Linked DNA regions of Caenorhabditis elegans. The protein of the gene in region 1 purifies or fractionates together with the protein of each later gene. This does not show direct contact. Each region holds a gene or a part of one and is shown on either strand. Other genes may lie near its edges.

What was found.
Region 2: the proteins of F33C8.2 (region 1) and cku-70 fractionate together in Caenorhabditis elegans (co-fractionation; one large-scale study listed by BioGRID). This does not show direct contact.

What each region holds. Positions count from the first base shown.
Region 1 is NC_003284.9:14,719,707-14,727,403, reverse strand, and holds F33C8.2 (DUF38 domain-containing protein), read right to left. Parts: upstream 6,007-7,697; coding exon 5,819-6,006; intron 5,031-5,818; coding exon 4,959-5,030; intron 4,912-4,958; coding exon 4,275-4,911; intron 1,960-4,274; coding exon 1,750-1,959; 3' UTR 764-1,749; downstream 1-763. Other genes in the region: tsp-8 (Tetraspanin), read left to right, coding at 42-192, 350-465, 579-722.
Region 2 is NC_003281.10:11,152,981-11,157,973, reverse strand, and holds the start of cku-70 (Ku domain-containing protein), read right to left. Parts: upstream 3,148-4,993; coding exon 2,926-3,147; intron 2,873-2,925; coding exon 2,770-2,872; intron 1,366-2,769; coding exon of another isoform or gene 775-1,365; intron 1-774. Other genes in the region: Y47D3A.31 (BAR domain-containing protein), read left to right, coding at 775-1,365; pola-1 (DNA polymerase), read right to left, coding at 4,030-4,178.

The DNA.
Region 1 (7,697 bases):
AACTTCATTTTTGCAATTCCAAAATCCTTCTCTCATTTCAGTTCGAATGCTGTGGTGTGAAAACATACACGGACTGGCTTAGCGCAAGATGGGACGCCGAGCCATCCACTCAATTAGAAGTGAACGAAGAAGATGCTGGCAGAATTGAGCACGGAATTGGCGCGTTCGGCGGGAACAAAGGCACTGGATATGGTGAGTTGAAAGAGGGGAATGTGACGTGGTAATAAACGCAAAAAGCTGAGTAAGATAATCTTAAAAGTTTTCCTACATACAATGATTTCATAGACATTCGAAAAAGTATATAAATTTTGTAGCTAGCTAACTTTACGAAAAAATCACAATATTTCAGGTCGAGTCCCATCATCTTGCTGTAATGAGCATGGAAAGCTTTCCTACCCAAATAACTGTGGAAGATCATTCAGCCAAGCTCCGCTCAACACTTATGCTCAATTTATCAATACACGGGTGAGATTTTCAAAAATATATTGATAAAAACAATGTAAATATTCAGTGATTTATTAATTAGTTTTGTTAATCTAACTTTCAAATAAATACAATCAAGTTCAAAACTTTTACAGGGATGCGCCGATGCCGTGTACGAAAGCGTGAGCAGCTCATTGAGCTTGATAGTAGGAGTTTGTGTGGTTCTTTGCATTGTTCAACTCCTTGGAATTGTGTTATCTATGACCTTATGTTGTTGCAAAGGCAATTCTAAAAAATAAACGCCTTTTTTGTTTATAGATGTTTTTTAATGAATAATAAATGTTTTTCTCTCTGATTTATTGGAATTTGTAAAGATAAATAATCGAATGACAAACAACAATTCTTTCAGATTGGGTAGAGTTGATGAAGAGTGGTTGGATAAATATTTGTGAAACAATTAAAGTCGAATTTGCAATAATTGACTTCTCAGGAAAGGAGTGTAGTGAATGGAGTAGCTTGATCAAAAAATCAATTGAAGGAGTACGAATTATTCAGGTCGATAAGATTGAGATCGGGGAGAGGATTTTTTCGTTTGAAATTAAAATGTTTGTTGTCAAAATATATTAGTGAGTTTTTTGTTTTTTTTTGCATTTTTTACGGTTTTTCAGGGGTCTTATAGCACACACGCGCAGCTTTTTTTTTGAGTTATTAGTCGGGTGTTTTAAATTTTATGATAAACTCAGAAAAGCTTAGGATAATAGGTTTTCTGGCACCCTGCTTCCAAACATCACAATAGTTTTTTTTGTGGAAAATTCTGCGTTTTCCAATACTTTTTGACTAGATGGTTGGAAAATAACCAGAAACGAAAAATGATAAATTCTCAATTAGTGTAAAGCCATTCAAAAATAAAAAAGTTATGAAAAATTTTATAGTTTAAAAAAATCAAAAGAGTTTTCAGCGAATCTGTGTTATTCATTATTTTTGAATTCAAAATAAAAACATTTAACTAAATTTTTTTGCGATTAAGATTAAACTACATTCTGGTTTCTGAGTTTTGCAAAAATCCTCCTTCTATAAATAAAGAAACAATGGCTTTCCAATATATTATTGCAACACAGTGCAAAACTTTTGAAGAGCATAGAGACTATTGGTTTTGCAGTTGAAAATGAGCAAGACTAAATTTCAAATAATTCAAAAGAGCAAAACAACCAAAAAATGCTTCAAAAATACGAAATAATCGCATAATTTAAAAGTTAGAGAAGGTGAATTAAAGTCTGGAAAAATGTTGATAGAAACTGAGTCCCATAAAGCGCTGTATGAGAATTATTAGCGCCGTGATGCAATTTTGACGCCCTGGTGGCAGAATGTAACAAAAACACATCGGTCATTTGCCATGCATCTGTATGTATTTGAATTAAGTCGTTGGCAAAACTTGTTCGATTCCAAAATGTGTAGAGCTGTGTCCCCTTCAAACTTGATTTTGGATTTCCAGTCTTGACTGATGGAGGTTATAGTAGTCTCCATGTAGAGCAACTTCTGAATAGTTAGGTAATTTAATGAGAAACAGATTGAAGCATTTGATGAGATTTTTATTTGAAGACAAAAGGGTGCAACTTCTCAATTTTTTTTCAGTTTTACTGCTTCAAACAAGGTTGCCATAAGATCGCCGCGCCGGCCTCACGGCGTCACTCACGTCGCCTGTATCCAAATGTATAGTGCGACGCGGAACCCCGGCCGCTTCCAAATAACTCTTTTTTGCACTACGTTGCGCACACATCAAGCTTCTCGTTTCACGCCAAGCTGCGGCACCCCGAACGTGTCGGCCGCTCCTAACAAATACCTGTCGCGCTTTATTGCACACACACAGCGGCGCACGGCGTCGGCGTGAGGCCCCCATTTCGCGCCTCGCTCAGCTGGGAGCCCTACTCTAAACATTTTTGGAGTGTTTTTTTTAAAATTATAATGGGTCGTGTTGGTCAGTGCATTTTGACTTAATCCTCACTTATGATATTCACCCCTCATTATCATTACTTATATATAAAAAAATACATGAGGGATGTTACAATTGTAGTTTGTAGTCTGTGACGTCACACCTGCAAGGTGTTTCCGGCTGTTGAAGGGATTGTGGGTTGGGGTTAGTGGTGGGATATGGTCGGGATACTGTAGTAGTACTGTAGGGGTACTGTAGGGTTACTGTAGGGTTACTGTAGTTTTGGAAAAATTGACTTTTTGTCTTTTGAAGTGATATTGGTTTGAGGTTAGTGGTGGGATATGGTCGGGGTACTGTAGTAGTACTGTAGTAATACTGTAGGAGTACTGTAGGATTACTGTATTTTTGAAAAAAATTGGCTTTTCGTTTTTTGAAGTGATATTGCTTTGGGGTTAGTGTCGGGATATGGTTGGGGTACTGTAGTTGTACTGTAGAGGTACTGTAGGAGTACTGTAGGATTACTGTAGTTTGGGAAAAATTGACTTTTCGTCTATTGAACGGATATTGGAAACTTTGAGAAAATTCCGGAATGCTCCAGAACCTTCTGGAAAATTTGAGAAAATGCTGGAATGTTCCAGAACCTTCTGGAAAATTTGAGAAAATTCTGGAATGTTCCAGAACCTTCTGGAAAATTCGAGAAAATTCTGGAATGTTCCAGAACCTTCTGGAAAACTTGAGAAAATGCTGGAATGTTCCAGAACCTTCTGGAAAATTCGAGAAAATTCGTGGTGAGACCCTTCGTGGTGAGACCCTTCGTGGTGAGACCCATCTTGGCGAGACCCATAAGTTTTGGCGGGAAATTCAAATTTTCTGATAAAAAATTTTGGCGGGAAATTCAAATTTTCTGAGAAAAATTTTTGGCGGGAAATTCAAATTTACTGAGAAAAACTTTTTGGTGGGAAATTCAAATTTTCTGTGAAAAATTTTGGCGGGAATTCAAATTTTCTGTGAAAAATTTTGGCGGGAATTCAAAATTTCTGTGAAAATTTTTAGCGGGAATTCAAATTTTCTGTGAAAAATTTTGGCGGGAATTCAAAATTTCTGTGAAAAATTTTGGCGGGAATTCAAAATTTCTGTGAAAAATTTTGGCGGGAATTCAAATTTTCTGTGAAAAATTTTGGCGGGAATTCAAAATTTCTGTGAAAAATTTTGGCGGGAATTCAAAATTTCTATGAAAAATTTTGGCGGGAATTCAAATTTTCTGTGAAAAATTATAACGGGAATTCAAGTTTTCTGTGAAAAATTTTGGCGGGAATTCAAATTTTCTGTGAAAAATTTTGGCGGGAATTCAAATTTTCTGTGAAAAATTTTGGCGGGAATTCAAAATTTCTTTGAAAAATTTTGGCGGGAATTCAAAATTTCTGAAAAAAAATTCTGGAATGTTCCAGAACTTTCTAGAAAAATCGGGAAAATTCTCGAATGTTCCAGAATTTTCTAGAAAATTCGAGAAAAGTCTGGAATGTTCAATTCCCTGAAAAAATTCAAGAAACTTCTGCGAAGTGCTAGAATCTTTCAAGTTTTGATACTCCTAGAATATTCTGAAGTTTTAAGAATTAAAAAAAAAACCAGAATTTGTTATAGATAATTTCCAAAAACGCTCGCCAAAAACTTTCGGAAAGGACCTGAAAAAGTCTCATAAAAGTTCCAGGAAACTTGAGGTTTTAAAATTGTAATTGCTTAAAATTAAGTATATAATATTTATGTTGCTCGAAAACTTCCGGAAAACAAGGAAAAAAACGTTCCATCTGCAGTGAAATGCTTAGAAATTTCAGAATTTGATTTTAATTTTGAGTACGCCAGTCGGAGCACGCGCTTCAGCGCGTGCGAACGGCTGGTGTATTTAAAAAATAAATAAACATACCTTGACATAATCTGTAATTTCCTGTGGTGTTAAAGCAAAAACTGTGGCATCAACTTTTGCACAATTATAGAAATGAGTTATTGGGCACGTTATAAGAACTCCTTTCGTTTTTAGACTAGATTTGTTTCCCCAATGAACAGTGTTCATAATTCTTCTCATATCCATCTTCCGTTCATGTTTTTTCACAATGATAGACAGTTCAAATTCTTCGTTTGGATCTATGTATGGCAAAATCAACATAATTTCCTTTTCTTCAATTTCCACCATTTTCAATTGTCTCAGTTCCAAATTGAATGGATACATGGCCCAGAGCATTTTTTGGAGTTTCTCGAAGAAAGCGGATCTTGTTGTCTCTGGCAGATTCTGTTCAGCTACTTCAACACGTAGAGCATTAACTTCCAATTTTGGTGCATCACATATTTCTTGAAAGATGTCCAAAGCCGCGTCTACGTAATTTTTTGCAGATAATTTCTGGAAAGGTTCTCCTTGTTTTTGAATTTTGCATTTCTTGGCGTCTACATGATAAAAAGCCATAAATTCCTTTGTTTCATAACTTCCATCTCTGCTCACATTGATTTCTACGAAATTGCGACCCAAACACAAACTGATTTTCTCAATTTTTAGTGGAAGTACATAACTGAAATTTTATGTAGATAAAGTTGTTCTGAATCGTCATTCACTTACTTAAAATTTTCGGGCATTCTCCTGTGTATGTGATGTTCTTTCGGTTCTGGGAACAGTGAGCTACTGTCGAGACTGAAAATGAATTGGGTTACAAAATTTTGAAGGATGAAGACTAGGACATCTAAATTACCTTTTTTTTCAAAGTTGCACAAAAGTGTCAATTACAGTGTAATTCATCTCAACTAAAAATTCAGCGTTTTCATGATTAAACGTAATGAAAAAAACAAGCAAAAATAATTTGGAAACTGACCCAGAACGCAAAAAAATGAGTTCCTAGACAAATGTCATCACTAGCTTGGTCATTACCTTCAACGTCATTATCTGGGACGTCACAGAAAACAATTCTGGCGTAAACCTCAATGTTTCCGAAATTTTCGCTTTGTTTTGCTAATTTTTGCTTTCCGTTTGTGGTGAGACCCCTTGTAAACAAACCCTTTCGGAAAGAAACTTTTTTTGGGAAGAAACTAAGCTTGAGCCTGAGCTTAAGCCTAAGCCTAAGCCTCAGCCTAAGCTTAATCGGCCAACAGGAACCGCCTCAAAAATCAAAAAAAAAAACCGGAAAATCCTAAGCCTTCATAGCGTGCGCTCGCCACTGACGCCAAGCCAATGTTTGAGCCTAAGCCTAAGCCAAAGCTGAACTTTAGCCTAAGCCGAAGTTTAAGCCTAAGCCTAAGCCTAGGACAAAGCCTGAGCCTAAGCCTGAGCTTAAGCCTAAGCAAACGTTTAAGCCTAAGCCTACGCCTATGCTAAAGTCTAAGCCAAAGCATATGCCTTAGCCTTTATCATATGCCAAATGGCAGCACACGGTTTGGCGTTCTAAAACTACTTCTAAAGTTCATAAAAATCAAAAAATACCATACCAAGTGTTTCGAAACACCTCCTCGAATCCACGGGTTCCTTGTTTGTACCAATATTCGACTTCTTCAATTTGAAGATCTGGGAACGCATTCTTGAGTTTTTGAAAAGCATATTGAGCGGGCTGCTTATTTTGAAATTCATTAAGAATGGAGAACCGTCTACACAGTTTCTCAGTATTCTCTCTATCCATGTTGACTTCCTGAAAGTTGAAATTCATAAATTTACTCATAAACGTCAATGATAAGCTTTTGAGCAGAACAAAAAAAGAAACAAGAGCTCACAAAACTGCCTGGCAACAATGTGCGTGGGGAAGAAGAAGTGATAGCTGAGTGCGCAGCACTAGTTCAATCGTGTTTCGAATGTAGATACTGGTAAGAGAAGGGAGGGAAGTACGGCTTACAATGTTGGAAAAAAGATAATAATAGGTAGACATTTGTAATGAGCATGTGATATGAATCGGAAAAAAATAGTGTAAGATACTAACAGCCAACTTTCGGATGTGTGAAAAGTGTATTTATTGTCAGCAGACTTTCCCACAAGTAATTGGAATAAAGGCGTACATCATGTCGCATTAGTTTATTGGCTGACCTGTAGCCGCTAATCCGAAACATACAAACAAAAGAGGAAAGTAATAGTGGTGACTTTCCAGATTTATTGGCAATATTCAGAAACAAGGACCCGGAGAATGTTGGTTTGTGTCAGAAAATGATTATCAGTTTTCTCCTCAGACCTGTCTAGCTGCGTGGGCGTCACTCAGTTTATGGATGATTTTGACAATGTTATCAACGATTATGTGGAAGTGCGAATCTACGAATACACTGTTTATCATAGAAAACTTAATGGAAGAAGATTTTGTTTTGCTGGTTACCTTCTCTGTAGAATTAAGATGACTCTTCAAACCAATCTTGTATACCCTGTTTAGTAGAATCCAATCGCACCTCATGTTGTTCTCCTTCGCTTTTTTGAATCTGGTATTAGGATACTCATACTTTTCAGGCTTTTTGGGAAAATTACCAAAACTAATTTTTATACATCCAAGCATTGATATGAGATACTTGAATTGTCATCTTTGTTGGTTTCTTCTTGTACATTTCTGTTCAACTACCCCCAATGGCTGATTGCAACTTGGAGCCTACTTTTCACCTATAATTTTTACACACTCTTTTTTTTTCCTTTTTTCTTCCACTCCAAATATTTGCATACGAAGTACATCTTCACCCATCTGCTTGTTGGCGGTCAGACGCGTCGAATTTTGAAATCACAAAGCAGAGTCTCCACTGATGCCGATTGATTTTTCACTGTGAGAAAATATCACATCAGATAAGAGACCACGGTTTATAGACAAAGAAGACAGAGCCCGGTGCCCAGCTGCGCGACGCTCTGGAAACCGAGTCGTGATGAAGAGATTTACTCACACAATAGGTTGTGAGTATATTTGGAAGGCGTCGTCCTGTCTAAAAATCGCCTAGCAACTGCATTCGTGGGAAGTAGGGGATAGCCAACCTGTGTGTGTGTGTGTGTGTTTGCAGAGAGCCTTTTTGAGTCACAAGACAGAGAGGCACTCTGATAGAAGGGGAAGCAACGTATTCCAAAGACAAAAAATATAACAATAATTGAGAGACATTGGATAATGTGAAAACAGAAACGTGCGAGCGGGCGAGAAGATATCCTTCAGAAATTTTTACAAATGGAAGTTAGGGATGAAGTAGTAGTTTCAATAAGAAGGACAAAATATTCAAGTGTATCGGAACCATTCAGTTTGATTCATAGTTAGATTATGTGTACGGAGCGGTCATACTAATACGGTTGTGCTTTTTCAAATTTCCAAACACATATCGATAAAGGAAACAGCCATAGCTGTTTTTGGAATCTGAACAATTG
Region 2 (4,993 bases), on another chromosome or scaffold:
GCGTGGGCGGCAAACGATTTCTTTCCGGCAATTCGGCAACTTGCCGGAATTAAAAACTTCCGGCAAACCGGCAAATGGGCGGAATTAAAAATTCCGATAAATCGGCAAATTTCCGGAATTGAAAACTGCCGGCAAACCGGCAAATTGCCGGAATTGAACATTTCCGGCAAATTGCCGGAGTAGAAAATTTCCGGCAAATCGGCAAATTGCCGGAACTGAAAGTTTCGGCAAACCGGCAAATTGCCGAAATGGAATCTACAGCCAAATCGGAAAATTGTCGGAATTGAAAACTTCCGGCAAATCGGCAAATTGGCGGAATTGAAAATTTTTGGCAAACCAGCGAATTGCCGGAATAGAAAATTTCCGGCAAATCGGAAAATTTACGGAAAACCAGCAAATTGCCAGAATTAAAAACTTCCGGCAAACCGGCAAATGGGCGGAATTGAACATTTCCGGCAAATTGCCGGAGTAGAAAATTTCCGGCAAATCGGCAAATTGGCGGAAATGAAAATTTCCGGCATATCGACAAAACCGGCAAATTGCCGGAATTGCAAATTTCCGATAAACCGGCAAATCGCCGGAATTGAAACTTTTCTAACTTTTTCAAACTTGAACAAAACTCAAATATCAAATTTTTTTCCGTGAAAATCCCAAAATTCCACGTTGGAAATTTCAAAATTCCAACAGCAAAAAAAAAAAACGCCGCGGACAAAATTCAAAATTCAATTTATTCCTAAATTTCGACTCGGTGGTGTGTGCGTGAGTTGTTCAACAATGTTCAGTCGACTAAAGCAAAAAGTGAAAGAAAAGACGGGCAGAAGCAAGGCGACAGTGCTTCCCGCCGAAATCGACGAGGCGTTGATCTACTTCAAATCTCTGAAGCCCCGCGTCCAGGATCTCTACAAGCACATGGCAAATCTGAACGACGTGGCAAATTGGCAAGTGAAAGCCAACTTTTCAGGCCCACTGGAGAACTATGCTCTGCTCGGAGATCGTATCAACGTGCAACCGTTCATCAATTGTGTCGACACGCGGATGGAGGCAGAAGTCGAGTCGATGGATAAGGTGCTGGCGATTTGTGAGCGGTACAAGGCGTTCACACAGAACGAGAGTAAGCTTCACACAAATACAATTGCCAATTTGAATAAGACACGTCTCGATATGGATAGTGCTGCGAACAAGTACGCCAGCAACGACACTGACGTCAATCGGACTCGGTTTGATGATGCCACTCGTGAGTTTGAGGTGGCTTGTGATCGGATGCGTGAGTTGGCGATAAGTATTCAGACAATTGAGGAGACTCATTCCATGTGGCAAGATGAATTGATGCGGGAGATAAAGGCCGGAATGAGGAAACCGAATTGAGGTGGTGGTGGTGGTGGTGATGGATGAGAAATTGAAAATTGAAGAGATCTCACAAAAAAACCTTTTTTTTTTTTGAAAATAAATTAGGTTATTATGAAATATTGTTTTGCCAATTTTCTAGGCGGCGTGGCCTACACGATTTCAGGCCGCTCTTTATGAAAAGCTAAGTTCTGGCGTCGAAAATTGCCAATTTCTTGAAAAAAAAATACCGGAAATTGTTTTGTCGAAAGCAGTGGTGGACGGCAATTGCCGTTTGGCAAATTCGGCAAATTGTCGGAAATGCCGGTTTGCCGGAAACTTTAATTTCCGACAATGTGCCGGTTTGCCGAATTGTTGCCGGAAATTTTTTATTCCGGCAAGTTGCAGATTTACCGGAAACTAAATTCCGACAATTTGCCGATTTACCGAATTACCGTATATTTTCATTTATGGGAACTTGCCGGTTTGCCGTTTTGACGAGAACTTTCATTTCTGGCAATTTGCCGGTTTGCCGAATTGACGGAAATTTTCATTTCTGGCAACTTGCCGGTTTGCAGTTTTGCCGTAAATTTTCAATTCTGGCAATTTGCCGGTTTGCCGTGACGGAAATTTTCGTTTCCGGCAACTTGCCGGTTTGCCGAATTGCCGCAAATTTTAATTTCTAGCAACTTGCCGATTTGCCGGAAAATTTCATTTTCAGCAATTTGCCGGAAATTTTGATTTCTAGCAAGTTGCCGGTTTGCCGAATTGACGGATATTTTCATTTCTGGCAACTTGCCGGATTGCCGAGTTGACGGAAACTTTAATTTCCGACAATTTTCCGGTTTGCCGGAAATTTTCAATTCCGGCATTTTGCCGATTTGCCGGAAACTTTAATTTCCAACAATTTGCCGGTTTGCCGAATTGCCGGAAAATTTAATTTCCAGCAAGTTGCCGAATTGCCAAAAATGAAAGTTTCCGGCAACTTGCCGGTTTGCCGGAAACTTTCAATTCCGGCAATTTGGCAATTTGCCGTAAATTTTCAATCAATTCTGGCAATTTGCCAGAAACTTTTAATTCTGGCAATTTGCCAGAAATTGTCATGTCCGGCAATTTGGCAATTTGCCAGAAATTTTCAATTCCGACAATTTGTCTATTTGCCGGAAAAAAATCGTTCGAATTTTCAAAAAAGTGGTGATCTACCGAAATTCTGCCAAAAGTCAAAAGAACAATCAATTTTTTGCCAAAAAATTGCCAGATTGCGTATAATATTCTGAAATTGTAGATTTTACTCGAAATTTAACTGGAAATTGCCAATTTGTCGAGATTTTGAAAAATTAGAAGTTTGCCTAATTCACTGCGAAAATTGTGCCAAGTCGCCAAAAGACGACGAATGCCGAGAAAAAAAACCACGAAAATGTCAGAAATTGTCCGCGATTTCCGCACCTTCCTCCGCAATTTCCTTAATCTTATTCACTTCTTCCTGTCCAAGAACACCCATCGGCACAAGCAGAGTGCTATTTTCGAGTCCCTCGGTCTCCGAGTTTTTCTGTAATTAAAAAATTATTAAATTTTCAGAAATTCTTCAGAAAAAACTCGTACAGTACTAGTGACAATCACTCCGATATGATTGTTAAGGCTCCGCGAGCAGCAAACACGGACTATTTCGTCGAGAATGAGCTTCAGAGCAAGCTTGAACTCTGGCGGCTCACCGGCTTTCGACGTTTCGAACATTGCCGGATTTCCGTCAATTATGAAGAATGTGTACTTTTTATTGGCCGTTGAACCCTCGAAATCGTCATCCTCGAAGCGGGTTTCGTCCATCTGGAAAAAAATTGATTTTTTTCAAACTTTTCTCGAAAAAAAATTCAAATTTTGACTGAAAAAATCGAAAAATTAATTTTTTTTGAATTTAAAAATATTTATTAAAATATTTTTGTTCTCAAAAACTTTGAAATTTGACATTTTTCAAGTTTTGAAAATTTCGAAAGTTTTTTTTTTCAAATTTTTCGAGAAAAAAATATCATATTTTGTCGATTTACGGAGCTCGTGACTGAAAAATTAAAAAAAAAAAACTTCTCCTCGAGGAGTACACCAGCTGCGTAAATAGACACACGGTTTTTATGCATGTGTCGATTTACGACGGATTTTGAACTACACGTGGACAAGTTTGAGTTCAATTTTTTTGCAAAATCTCGACTTTTTTTTTGGCTAAAATTTCAGTTTCCGAAACATTATCCCTCGTAAATCGACAACCCCTGTGTCGATTTACGCAGCAGCCTTCGTGTACTCCTCGAGGAGAAGTGTTATTTTTTGCTCAAAAATTTTAATTTTACAATAAAATAAATTACTTTGCATAGAAAATTTGAAAATAGCGAAAATGTTCAAATTCTCCCCGTAAGTCGACACAAATACTATAATAAATTGAAATAATTTTTTCAGAGATGGAAAAACTCCAAAAATTCAGTGAAAAAAGGGAGAATTAACACAGGATTCGATTGTTTATCAGATATGATTTGAGTATTTTCGGGAATATTTTTTTGGGGAAAAATAAAGAATTTTTCACTGAAAATTAGGAGAAAATGGAAAAATGGAGGAGGAGGAAATGACTTGTGAAAAAAATTAGGAAATTAGAAATTTCGACATAAAAAAGACGGGAAAATCGCAAAACTGGGGGGAAATTTTCAAAAAAAAAAGAAAATAAATTCATTGAATTTTCATCATTGGCGCAAAAATATATGAAAGATCCACTCGATTATAGGCATTTTTCTCCAAATATTTCTCATTGATTCGATCAGCCAACATCATTGAATCGATTTTGCACCCATTATATTCGACACGGACTTTGGCGGCTTCTGGAAAAAAAAAACTTTTTTGAAGAAAAAATTGTACAAAATTTCCTGGAAATCGAACTTTTAATGCTAATTTTTAGTGAAAAATTGTAATTTTCAACGAAAAAAAAAACTCAGAAATCGGAGAAAAAATTTACTGAAAAAAAATTACGGATTTAAAATTATTTGAGCCAAGCTTTTCAAAGAATACGGTACCGGGTCTCGATACGACAAATTGTTGTTGAATGCGAAAAAGTGTGCGCCTTTAAAGAGTACTGTAGTTTCAAACGGATTTTTTTAATCGATTTTGCGCATAGAATTTCACACGATTTGTTAAAACTTAAGCGGTTTATTTCAGTTTTTTTGTTTAACGAAAAACTGAAAAAAATGGATGAAAATTTCTCAAATTTCATCCAATTTTTTTCAGTTTTTCGTTAAAAAATATGCTTTTTATTAGAAAAACTGAAATAAACCGCTTAAATTTTAACAAATCGTGTGAAAATCTATGCGCAAAATCGATAAAAAATTCCGTTTGAAACTACAGTACTCTTTAAAGGCGCACACCTTTTCGCATTCAACAACAATTTGTCGTGTCGAGACCCGGGCGCAAAAATCGTGAAATTTCGGGATTGAGTAATAAAATTATAAAAGCCGAATAATTTTATCTCCGTAATTTTTTTTTTGAAAAAAAAAAATGCTGAATAGCTGCTGAAATAGAAAATAAAATTTTTTAAGTAAACTTTTTCTCCGAACTCTGCGTTTTTTTTTTTGAAATTACAATTATTCACCAAAAGTTTACATTAAAAGTCCGATTTCCAAAAAAAAAATTGAAAGAAAAT